2 linked regions of the Caenorhabditis elegans genome follow. The protein of the gene in region 2 interacts with the protein of the main gene of each other region in a pairwise test. Each region holds a gene or a part of one and is shown on either strand. Other genes may lie near its edges.

Evidence for each region. Proteins that work in one complex are often made in the same cells at the same time.
Region 1: the proteins of uba-1 (region 2) and cpl-1 interact in a two-hybrid assay, tested with the Caenorhabditis elegans proteins (one large-scale study listed by BioGRID).

The regions. Positions count from the first base shown.
Region 1 is NC_003283.11:16,592,055-16,597,247, reverse strand, and holds cpl-1 (Cathepsin L-like), read left to right. Parts: upstream 1-1,901; 5' UTR 1,902-1,902; coding exon 1,903-2,160; intron 2,161-2,636; coding exon 2,637-2,735; intron 2,736-3,276; coding exon 3,277-3,724; intron 3,725-4,292; coding exon 4,293-4,501; 3' UTR 4,502-4,676; downstream 4,677-5,193. UniProt on the Caenorhabditis elegans protein: Cysteine protease which plays an essential role in the degradation of proteins in lysosomes.
Region 2 is NC_003282.8:9,989,150-9,996,803, reverse strand, and holds uba-1 (E1 ubiquitin-activating enzyme), read left to right. Parts: upstream 1-1,858; 5' UTR 1,859-1,880; coding exon 1,881-2,075; intron 2,076-3,454; coding exon 3,455-3,594; intron 3,595-3,641; coding exon 3,642-3,945; intron 3,946-3,992; coding exon 3,993-5,075; intron 5,076-5,121; coding exon 5,122-6,303; intron 6,304-6,359; coding exon 6,360-6,664; intron 6,665-6,739; coding exon 6,740-6,872; 3' UTR 6,873-7,131; downstream 7,132-7,654. Other genes in the region: pyp-1 (Inorganic pyrophosphatase 1), read left to right, coding at 13-143, 191-681, 734-900, 945-1,080; mam-2 (MAM domain-containing protein), read right to left, coding at 7,354-7,452, 7,542-7,654.

The DNA.
Region 1 (5,193 bases), on a different chromosome or scaffold from region 2:
TGATATAATTTTTCTTGAGGCCAGAAATTTCATTTTTGCCTTCGAAATAAAAACTGGAAGTTTAAGTATTTCTATTTAAATATGTCCAAATTAAAAAAAAGTTATTTGCATCTAAAAATTTACTGAAACTTTACACTTTTCTCCCGAAAAAAACTTCAATATTCAGTTCTAAATTTCTGAAAATTAAAATTTATTTTCTGAAAACGTCTGAAATTTCAAACTTTTCATATAAAAATGACAAAAATTTTAGAGATTCCTGTGCAAGAATGTCTGAAGTTTCAAAGGTACTTATTAAAAATTCTTCAAAATCTGAATTTCCATATTGAAATTGGCGGCATTTTTATTTCTTCCATGTTTAGAATTGTATGAACTTATGAAATTCTATTGAAAAATACGTAACGATTTTCCTTTCCCGTCTGAAATTTAAATTTTTATGTGAACACGTCTCAAAATCTGAATTTCTTATGGGAAAATATCTGAAGTTTCAATTTTTTTTTATTTGAAAATAAATTAAATTCATTTTTTTACGATTTTTTAGGTGCTGAAACTTTGAATTTTGTATCGAAAAATGTCTGAAAGTGAGAACTTCCAATTATAATTTTTCTTACATTTTTCTTGTTAGTTAGTTGAATTTTGAGTTTTTAAATTACTGAATTTCGAAATTCACGTGCTGAAAGTTATAAAAAACTTCATACGAGTTACAGCATTTTTTGAGATTTTGAAATTTCCAAATTTCGAAATCTCTTTTTTTCCCTATTTCCCCAAGATTAAACAATTGTCGATTTCAAAAAATTGCTTAGAACATCTCAAGTCTGCCATTCCCCACTCCAAAAAAAAAACAGGTTCCCATTATCATTCCTTATTCCCGTAGATTATCTCACCGTCTTCACCAGGTATCTTATCAATAGCTGGATGATTATGTAATTTCTTGCTGATGACATTTATTTTCTCGTTTTTCATTCCTAAGTTTTTTGTTTGGAAATCCTTTAGAATGCGAAACAATTTATTTACATTGTTGGCCACCTGTTAAAGTGACCTAATTGTTTGTTTGTTTTCTGTCCTTTTTCCCCCTGTTTTTTCAAAGTTAATTTTAAAAAACTTGACTCACTTTGTAGTTTGACCTTTGCTAAAAAAGCAGCCGACATCAGTCAAGGACCACTTATAAAATTTTGAGACATTGCTTTTTGGGGCCCAAAATCGTTAAAAACTACCGAATTTCGTAATGAAAAGTTTTGAAAATTTCTGGAAAAAAAACCGAAAAAAAAGTTCATACTTCAAAAAGAGCAAAATTTGATGGAAGTTTCTGTTCCTAACGTCAATAAAACAGTAGAAATTGACACAAATTGCTGGAATTTTGCGGTTAAACTCCAATAATTGACACTTTTAAAAGGCGAACAATTTTCTCGGTTTTGGAAACATTTCTAGCAAAACTGGTAGTTTTCTAAACTTTGGGGGCACTACAAACTACAAAAACCTTAATTTTCTGTATGTTCAATACTTCAAGAAGTTCGGAAACTTCCGCTCGAAAACTTCCGTTTTTCGAAACACTTATCCCTGATCACATGCTTATCTGACTTAACCCTATTATGATAATCATCCAATTTCTGTACTATTCTGAGCTCCTAGCACCGGAGCAAGCACTTTCACCCCTAATTTCCCTCTATTATCAGTTGACTGATAACCTGATGGTTTGATCGCTCTCTGTTTCTCTCCGCCTCTCCATCTCTCTCCTCACACTCGTCCTGGCACTGATTGACGCTGTCCCCGCCTACTTTAGGATCCTTCATAAACTCGCCTCGGGAGGTGTTCATTGTAGTTCCTATTCCATTTCCATATTTTTTCGTGTTTCCCCTGCTTTTTGTAGAATTTTCAAATTAATTTTAAATGTTATAAAATTCCAGAATGAACCGATTCATTCTTCTGGCACTGGTTGCCGCCGTCGTCGCCGTCAATTCGGCCAAGCTGTCCCGTCAAATCGAGTCGGCCATCGAGAAATGGGACGACTATAAGGAGGACTTTGATAAGGAGTACTCGGAGAGCGAGGAGCAGACCTATATGGAGGCATTTGTCAAGAATATGATCCATATTGAGAATCACAACAGAGATCACCGACTCGGAAGAAAGACATTCGAGATGGGATTGAATCATATTGCTGACTTGGTAAGAATATGCATTTCAATGCACCATGAGCTGCGGCGTCCGACGTTTTGAGCTCCGGGGACTCAAATTCTGGCTCCGAGGACCGAAGTCTCTAGCTCCAGGGTCCCAAGTTTTGAGCTGCGGGGTTTCAAAATTCAAGCTCCGGTTCTTAAGTAACGAGCTCCGGGATCACAATTTTTGAGCCCAAGGATCTCAAGTTTGGAGCTCCGGAGTCCCAAGTTCCTAAAGCGAGGATTTTCAAGTTTTCCTTTTTTGCATTTCCTAATTTCGACAGATAAGAAAATAAATACCCCCTATAAAAACTTCAAAAAGCTGTTCTCTGTCTCGTTCCACTATCAAAATCTCACCCAGCGAGAAAAAAAAAGATAAAGATATGAAATCCTCGTCTCGTGACTGACCAACAGCTGGCTTATCACACCACCACACTGACAAAACACACGAAGGTCATTTGATTTTCAAACTCTTGTTTTTTTCAGCCATTCAGCCAATACCGCAAACTCAACGGTTACAGACGTCTCTTCGGTGACTCCAGAATCAAGAACTCCTCCTCTTTCTTGGCTCCATTCAATGTTCAGGTAATTTTTTGAGAGGGGTTTTGTTGGGGTCCAGACACTAACTTTCTCGTCGATCAAAACTATAAAACTATTTGCATAAACAAAAACGTTTTCAACGACCGATAAAAATAATTCTTCGCTGACCGTATTTTTTGAATTATCATCTCTGATGATTGATACGCTTGAAAATTGAATTTCGCAATGTTTTGGTCACCGAAATGTTTAAAAACAAGATTCAAATGGTTAGAACTGTTTTTGCTGAAATTTGAACACCAGAGCTTAGAGCTGTGATGAACTTCTAGGGGATAAGCCTAAGCCTGAGCTTCAGTCTAAGCCTAAATCTAAGCCTACGTCTAAGTGTACGCCTAAGCTTAAGCCTCAGCCTAAGCCTCAGCCTAAGCCTAAGCCTAGGCTTGAAACTGATTGTGAGTTGATGGATTTGGCTCAGTCCAGGAAGAAGTTTGGTCTATGCCTAAGCCTTAGCATAAGCTTGAGCTTCCCAAGCTTTCGGCTAAACCAAACCCTCAGCTTAAACTCAAGCCTAAACCTATTCAATTTTCAGGTCCCAGATGAGGTTGACTGGCGTGATACCCACCTCGTCACTGATGTCAAGAACCAAGGAATGTGCGGATCGTGCTGGGCCTTCTCCGCCACCGGAGCCCTCGAAGGACAACACGCTCGCAAGCTGGGACAACTCGTCTCCCTTTCCGAGCAAAACCTCGTCGACTGCTCTACCAAGTACGGAAACCACGGATGCAACGGAGGACTCATGGATCAAGCTTTCGAGTACATTCGTGACAACCATGGTGTCGACACCGAGGAGTCATACCCATACAAGGGACGTGACATGAAGTGTCACTTCAACAAGAAGACCGTCGGAGCTGATGATAAGGGATACGTTGACACCCCAGAAGGAGATGAGGAGCAACTTAAGATCGCTGTCGCCACCCAAGGACCAATCTCTATTGCTATCGACGCCGGACACCGCAGCTTCCAACTTTACAAGAAGGGTATGTTTTGTGGGAAGATGTGAGGGGGGGGGGGGTACTAGTTTTTATTGACGGGTCAGTTTTATTTGCATTTTGGATGATAATGATAAGAAAGCTAGTTACTCGGGTTTTTCATCAGAGACAGAGAGGGCAATAGTGATAAGAGAACTCGTGTTTTTGAATGATACCCTCTTGACAATAATAGTTTGGGTTCGAACTTGAATGTGAAAGTGGTGAAGGAATTTATAAATTGTTTAGTAGCAAAGTATAACCCCATCAGCCTAGGCCAAAGTCTAAGCTTAAGCTTACGATTAAGCCTAAGCCTAAGCCTAAGCTTACGCCTAAGCCTAAGCCTACGCCTAAGACTAAGCCTAAACCTAAGCGAAAGCCTAAGCCTAAGCCTGAGCCTAAGCTTAAGCCTAAGCCTGAGTCTAAGCCGTAGCTCAAGACTAAGCCTGAGTCTAATCCCAAGCCTAGCTCATAAGCCTAAGCTTAAACAAATGCCTAAACCAAAGCCTAAGCCTAGGCCTAAAACTAGGCCTACAGCATAAACTCAGCCTAAGTTCCACCGAATATCATCCATTTTCAGGAGTCTACTACGATGAGGAATGCTCATCCGAAGAGCTCGACCACGGAGTGCTTCTCGTCGGATACGGAACCGACCCAGAGCACGGAGACTACTGGATTGTCAAGAACTCGTGGGGAGCTGGATGGGGAGAGAAGGGATACATCCGTATCGCCCGTAACCGCAACAATCACTGCGGAGTCGCCACCAAGGCCAGTTATCCATTGGTCTAAATTTGAACTTAATAATTAATTTTTTTTTTTGGAAAATTTAATTGTAGCCCCGAATTGCAATTCTTTGACTCTTTTCTGTCAAGCTTTACCTCGTTTTCTGTATTTTTTTGGAATTTCTCTAATATCTATAATTATGTATTTCAAATTGTGGTGTACATAAACGATTTTTGAATTTAGTTTTGCATTTTTCTGTCTTAAAAACAAGTGAGGAAATAGTAAGAGCATATAATTAGCTCGTAACAAATTTGAATTATAGTTTTCGTTTTCGCTTTTAATTCAGACACCAAGTTGTGACGTCCTTTTTAGCGTGTCTACGCCCCTGCCTGCTTGCCTAGTCAATCAAAGTCCCCCACGAAAAATTAAATAAACATTGCAAAGCAGCGGTTGTCGATTGTTAACCCTCTCTCATTACAAACATTTGCCGCCGCTGTACACCGCGGTTCCATGGTGTAGCGGTTAGCACTCAGGACTCTGAATCCTGCGACCCGAGTTCAAATCTCGGTGGGACCTATGCTCTTTTTTCGCAGTTTCTAACCTCAGAAAGTAGACTGATGTTCTTTCCCAAGGGGTTCAATTTGCACGTATTTTTCAATAATTATCCACCTCTTTACTTTTTCCCCTCGAATTCATTCTATGCGTGTTATTCATCGAGCTATAAGTTTCCCTGCCTCTCAAATATTTTGTTTTAAACT
Region 2 (7,654 bases):
ATTATTTTTCAGGCCCTTGTCGGAGACTGCTGTCATTTTGCAAAGTCAAGCTGTGAAAATGAGCACCGGAGCCGGAGATTCAGCAGTTTACGAAGCCGTCGAGCGTGGATCTCTTTATAGTTTGGATTATAGAGTTTATATCAGTGAGTCGAAGCTGCTATAATTATTGGTTCTAATATCTATTTTGCAGAGGGACCACAAGGAATCGTATCTCCTTGGCACGATATTCCATTGTTCGCCAACAAGGACAAGAGAGTTTACAACATGATTGTTGAGATTCCACGTTGGACAAATGCTAAAATGGAAATGGCCACCAAGGAACCATTCTCGCCAATCAAGCAAGATGAGAAGAAGGGTGTAGCTCGCTTTGTTCACAACATTTTCCCACACAAAGGATACATCTGGAACTACGGAGCTCTTCCACAGACATGGGAAGATCCAAACCATGTTGTTCCTGACACTGGAGCTAAAGGAGACAATGATCCAATTGATGTTATTGAAGTTGGATCAAAGGTTGCCGGACGGGGAGCTGTTCTGCAAGTAAAAGTTCTCGGAACATTGGCTCTCATTGACGAAGGAGAGACCGATTGGAAATTGGTCGCAATTGATGTCAACGATGAGAATGCTGACAAGTTGAATGACATTGATGACGTCGAAAAGGTTTATCCTGGACTATTGGCTGTAAGTTTCGATTAAACATTTTTCAAAATACGTTTCATTTTTTTTCTTTCAGGCATCTGTTGAATGGTTCCGCAATTACAAGATTCCAGCAGGAAAACCAGCCAACGAGTTCGCTTTTAATGGAGAGTTCAAGAACCGAGAATACGCGGAGAAAGTCATCGATGAGACCAACGAATATTGGAAGACTCTCATCAAGGAAGCAAACCCATCCTTGAACACGTAGGGATTTCATCGCTTTTAATATTCTAAACTTCAAATTTCAGAGTCTCTCGGGTTCCAGAAGCTGTTCACCAAGGAACTGATGAAGCGGCCGCAACTGCCATTGGCGCTACCCCAGAACATGGAGCAAATGCTCCACTACCAGGAGATGTTGATAAGTGGCATTTTGTGCAAGGATGACTAGTACGCCCTGGAAGCCGTGAAGCATCTTCAAAACTTTAAATTTATTGCACTGTCGCTCCCTGAAATTATACTGACTCCCTCATTCTCTTGTTTTGTTCCAACGTATTTGATTATTTGATTCCTTTAATTTTATATTGTTTTTTTCATTATTCGAAAAACTTTTAAAAATTGAATTGGGGATCTTCTCTGTTTATGTATGTGATGTTTTCTTTTTGGTTTACCACCATACGTGAATTATTTGTCAAATCCAAACAGATCTTTTAAATTCAAAGTTCCTTTGGAAAAAGCAGTGAGCAGAGTCAGCACGAACTCGATAAACAGAAGAAACAATTTAAATTTTGAAAATGCTGATTTCAAACATATACGAACGAACTTTTAAAAATACATTAGAAATATCGAGAAATTTCTTTCGCAAAAAAGGAACACAAACACTACGAGACGACGATAGCGATGTTTTTATGTCAAAGAAGAAAAATGCAAAAGCGCTCTATTTTACTGCTAATATTTCTATGAGAAACTTGGCGCCATTTTCCACTTATGTTCCTTTTTCTTCATTTCGCAAGCGCGCCACTTTTTTCAAATGAAAATCAATAATTTCATCCTTCTAGAATCTTCCACAAACAGTTTGTTTCGCATTTTTTCGAAACGTGCAGTGGTTAAAAATCATTCGCTTTTCAATCTCAATTCTCGCCGAAAGCTCATCATCAGATTCTTCTCTTTTAAGCCACCATTATTCGAACTGCATCAGTTTTCATCAATTAAAAACTATTTTCAGTGGTTCTGATCTTTCGTGATTAATGACTACCATCCTTGAGCTAACATCGGCCAACAAAACTAACAACAAGGCCACCAATAACAAGCTGCAGCGTGAAGGAGAAAACGAATATCCTCCGGCGAAACGATCCAAGACTGACGACGAAGAAGAACCAACAGTCGTAGGAAACGGAACGATCGTCGGAGCGCCAAAGCAGCAAACACTTTCTGGGGTCAATGTAAGTTGAAATGGAAAACTATTTTTAAAAAATCTGAATTAACAATTTTTAATTCATAAGAAGCTTGAAAAGAAAGCTCTCAGAGATTCAATTAATTTAAGAATCCTCGTTTCTTTCCGTTGTTTTGCTATTTCAACAAAAAGATAATGAGTGTTCGCCGAATTTCACTCTGATTTTTTAGTCGAAACAGCAGGTGAAAACCCCATTCAAAATGAGAACTGATTTTTCTACCAAATCACAAGAATAAACGCATTCTCCGTTCGCTTTCTTTTATATTTAATCTTCGTTCGCCCAGAAAATTAGAGGGAAAGTTGCCGTGGCAACCACGCAGAAGCTGGCGCTGATACACTGCTTCGTAGCCGACAATGAATAATAATAGTTGGGATTTTGTTGACGGATAGAAAATACATATCCTTAATGCTTACTCGTATATTCTCTATTTTAATTTAGTCCTTGTTTCATTATGTATATGGAATATATCAGGAAGTATGATCCGGGTTGGCATATGCCCAAAAAGGTAAGTTTTAAGAATATTCTGGAATTGTTTGAAATTGATGTTTTAGGCGTCTACTTTTGTAATCAGGTAAAATATTTTAGAGAATGAGGTTATAAATTGATGACTTTTTCATTAGATGAACTGAGGTGGTAAAATTGTCCCGATACATAATAACAATTTACGTTTTAGTTTCGGCCAGTGAAACCCTGAAAAGTGTATTTTCATTCGTAGTTCTATTTATTTGTTGTCAATCCCATGTTTTCTCTATTTCTCTGCGTCTCTGTTAGTCATCATATTTCCGTTCCCGCTCTTGCTCACTTTTTGTTGTGAAAATTGAATGGTTAGTCGACTTTCTGTATTCAACGCAGTTTTTTTCCTAAGCGTTATCAGTTTCGTAGAGTTTTCCAACTTCACAAGTTATTAGGCCAACGATTGCAATCAATAATGTTCTAGAATGTGATTCGCGCTTTGTTGATCGATGTGTTCGTTTATAGAAAGTTCGGACGAATCTTTTTTCTTCGTCTTCCTAGTTAGGTTCGGATTACGAAAGGACACTAACGGGCGGTTTGACAGTCAAGTTGTTTCTTTGCCTGCGTCTCTCTCTTTATTCTTCCTCGCTCTTTTCAATTTCGCAACGAAGTCATTCAGTTTTTGTAGTTTCTCTTGTAATTTCCCTGTGTTCCACTATGACTTATTTTGTACTGTCGCGCATTAGAAACAAATTATAACTACACTAATGACTCTTTTTTCTACTCCAGTTTTATGAAAACTTGAAAAGTATTTGCCATAAAACTCGATTTTCATGACAATTCAAAATATATAAAATTTCGCTCTAAGATATATTAACATGTCAATTATATCATGTAATGATCTGATTTTTCAGCAGTCTGGAAACGTGAACGTCGAGACGACCAAAAACACTGAAGGACAAGACGGTGAGAAGATGGACACTAGCAATAATGCCGGAGGAGTTGGTGGGAACTCAGATGAGCTTCTCGACAAAAATCTTTACTCCCGTCAAATGTTAGTTTGATTTTTCTATTGTTCTAAAACAAAATTGAATATTTCAGTTACACGCTCGGCGAATCCGCCATGGTCAACCTCCGAACTGCTTCCGTTCTCATTTCTGGTCTCGGTTCTGTAGGAGTCGAAATTGCAAAGAATCTGATTCTTGGAGGAGTTCGGCATGTTACTATTCATGACACAAAGCTTGCAAAATGGTCTGATCTCTCGGCTCAATACTACTTGCGCGATGCAGATGTTGGTCACAATCGTGCTACTTCTTGCTACGAGCGTCTTGCAGAGCTTAATGACAGTGTTAATGTACAAGTATCAACTGATGAGCTCACTGAGGAGTTTGTCAAAACATTTGATGTAAGTTTAAATTAATTTTGTGTTAAAAAACATTTTTTAACTTATAGCTTGTTGTTCTCACGGACGCTGCCCGTACTGCTCAACGCCAAATCGCTGCATGGACACGAGCCCACAATAGACGTATTCTGATTACTGATGCTCGTGGTGTATTCTCATACATCTTCAACGATTTTGGAGACAATTTCCGAATTGATGACGCTACTGGGGAGCAAGTTCGCGAGTTCTTCATTGAGCACATTGATAAAACCACTGGTGAAGTGACAACATTGGAGAATCTTTTCCATGGTCTTGAGGATGGAGATCACGTTACTTTTTCTGAAGTTAAAGGACTTACTGAAATTAATGGATGTGAGCCACTCAAAATCACCGTTAAAAATGCATCGAAATTCAATATTGGTGATTTCGCAGTTTCATTCTCCGACTACAAAGAAGGTGGAAGATGTAGGCAAGTTAAAGTCCCAACATCGGTATCTCATGTTCCATTCGAGAAATCTCTTGTTGAACCAGAATTCGGAATATGGGACTATGCCAAGTTCGAATACCCATCCCAGCTTCATGCCTTGTGGACTGCTCTTTACGCTTTCGAAGAAAAGTATGGAAGATCCCCTGCTCCTCGATCCACTCAGGATGCCGCATTGTTAAAAGAATTGATTCCTTCTGGTACTGAAGAAATCCCAGAAAAGTTGATCGAATTGTTCTCGTTTTCTGCATCCGGAAACCTCGTCACTGTGTCATCTGTTGTTGGTGGTATTGCTGCACAAGAAGCAATGAAAGGAGTCACACACCATATGACACCACTGAAACAATGGCTTCATTTGGATCACGTTGAAGTCTTGCCAGGGGATTGGACTTCTTTCGACAATTCCAAACTTTCGGAAACTGATTGTCAGCCGAGACAATCTCGTTATGATGGACAAGCTGCCGTATTTGGATGGCCATATCAAGAGTGTCTATTCCGTCAAAGATGGTTTGTTGTTGGTGCTGGAGCTATCGGATGCGAATTGCTCAAAAATTTATCAATGATGGGTGTCGCTTGTGGTGAAGGAGGTCTTATCAAAATTACTGATATGGACCAAATTGAAATTTCGAATCTCAACAGACAATTCCTGTTCAGACGCCGTGACGTTGGGGTATGCCTGAAAAAATTTAATTTAACTTCTTAATACTCGTTTTCAGGGAAAGAAGTCAGAATGTGCCGCCCGTGCTGTGACTGCTTTCAACTCGGATGTTCGAATTGAAGCTTTGGCAGAACGTGTTGGATTGGAAACCGAGCACATTTTCAATGACGAATTCTTCGGAGAGCTCAATGGAGTTGCCAATGCGCTTGATAATGTTGATGCTCGGCGATACATGGATCGTCGATGCGTCTACTATCGCTTGCCTTTGCTGGAGTCTGGAACCATGGGAACCAAAGGAAACACTCAAGTTGTTTATCCATATCTCACGGAGTCATACTCGTCGTCTGTCGATCCACCAGAGAAGGAGATTCCTGTTTGCACGTTGAAGAACTTCCCCAATGAAATTCAGCACACAATTCAATGGGCGCGTGAGCAATTTGAAACATTCTTCGCCCAGCCAGGAGAAATGGCCAACAAGTTCCTTTCCGATGAAAGAGGGTTCAATGAGCATGTCGACAAATTAATTTCTGGACAACAAATTGATATTCTTCAAAAAGTAAAAGACGCTTTGATTGATGCTCGTCCATCGTCTGCTGAAGATTGTATTCGTTGGGCTCGCAACCAATTCCAGGAACTCTACCACAACAATATTGCTCAGATGCTTCACTCTTTCCCACCAGATCAACTCACTGATTCTGGAGCCAAGTTCTGGTCAGGAGCTAAGCGTTGCCCGCATGTTCTCAATTTTGATCCATCCAAAGAAGAACACTTCAATTTCGTTTTTGCTGCGTCAATTCTCATTGCCGAGTTATACGGAGTTCAACCAATTTTGGACAGAGAAGAAGTTATTCGTGTCGCTCTTTCGGTGAATCCGGAACCTTTCGAGCCTAAATCCGGTGTCAAGATCGCTGTAACTGACGCCGAGGCTAAAGAACAGAATGAACGTGGAGCTTCTAGCATGATCGTTGATGATGATGCTGCCATCGAAGCTTTGAAATTGAAATTGGCAACGCTGAACGTCAAGTCTACAAGCAAACTGAACTGTGTTGATTTTGAGAAGGATGATGATTCTAACCATCATATGGAGTTCATCACGGCTGCATCGAATCTCCGAGCCGAAAACTATGATATTCTTCCAGCTGATAGAATGAGAACCAAACAAATTGCTGGAAAAATTATTCCAGCCATCGCTACCACCACCGCAGCAGTTGCCGGTCTTGTTTGCATCGAACTGTACAAGGTAAGCGGCATTCATTCTAATGTGATAATTTATAATATACATATTTCCGTGTTCAGGTTGTTGACGCAAACGGTATTCCTAAGACACCAATGGAGCGTTTCAAGAACACTTTCCTAAATCTGTCAATGCCATTCTTCTCCTCTGCCGAACCAATTGGCGCTCCAAAGAAAACTTACATGGACCGAGAGTTTACTCTCTGGGATAGAATTGACGTTCAAGGACCGCTCACACTTCAAGAATTCATCGACAATGTACAAAACCAAACTGGTGGATGCGAGGTGTCGATGTTATCCGCTGGAGCGTGTCTTTTGTTCTCGTTTTTCATGAATGCTGGCAAAAAACAAGAAAGACTCAAAACAGAGTGAGTTGAATTACAAATCACTAGAAGATTGCTTTGTAACAAATGATAACATGTGAAAATTTGTTTTTTTTTCAGAGTGAAAGCGGTTTACGAGGAATTGCTGAAGAAATCACTTCATCCTTCTGTTCACGCTTTGGTTCTCGAGCCAATGATGTCCGATCCAGACGGTGAAGATGTCGAAGTTCCATACATTCGCTACTCTTTCTAATTATTATGATTTTTCAATGTTTGTATGTGTCTCTCTGTCCCCGTCTTCATGAGTCATGCTACTCTTTATCATTTTATCGCTCCCCGTTTTCATCCCCTTTATTGAACTCCCTTATTTATTATTTATGGTTTTAACTTTTTGTATTATTGTGTGAATTGCGATTTGTTTCACGTTCTCCCCGTACCTCATAATCTCTTCTTCCACCCACCCGAGTAATGTTTGAACAATGGTTTTTTACCGAATAAAATGTGCTATGTGGAATTCGAATTTATTAAGTCAAAAGGTGAGACGTCTGGAAGGAACCGGTCATTAAGAATGGATCTAGATTTACAATTGCACATTTTCAGATAATAGACAGAATTATGGCTAGAGAACCAGAATAATTCCAGTAAAGTGAATCATTGAGTCAACAGTACCTAGATATATTCAGGAACTCGAATATGGCATTTTCGGAAATTAAATAACAAGTTGAACAAATAATTTAACAAATAGATTGATCACTTGTATCAGTGAAAACGATTTTTGAAATTTCAAGAGATCCAGATTTTCCAGATTCAGAGAGACGAGATATTATGTAGACCTGTAATTGGAAATTGTTTTGTGAATAATCTCTGTTTGGAAGTTTTAATGTTATTGATTAAAAATCGAAAACATCCATTTCGAACTCACTTTTGTATCACTTGCCAGTAATTCGATATAATCATTTCCTTCTCTTCCTTCGACTTTAAAACAACTTTCTAATTCTTTTGTCCCACTGTCATTACAAATGAATAAATTCGCAT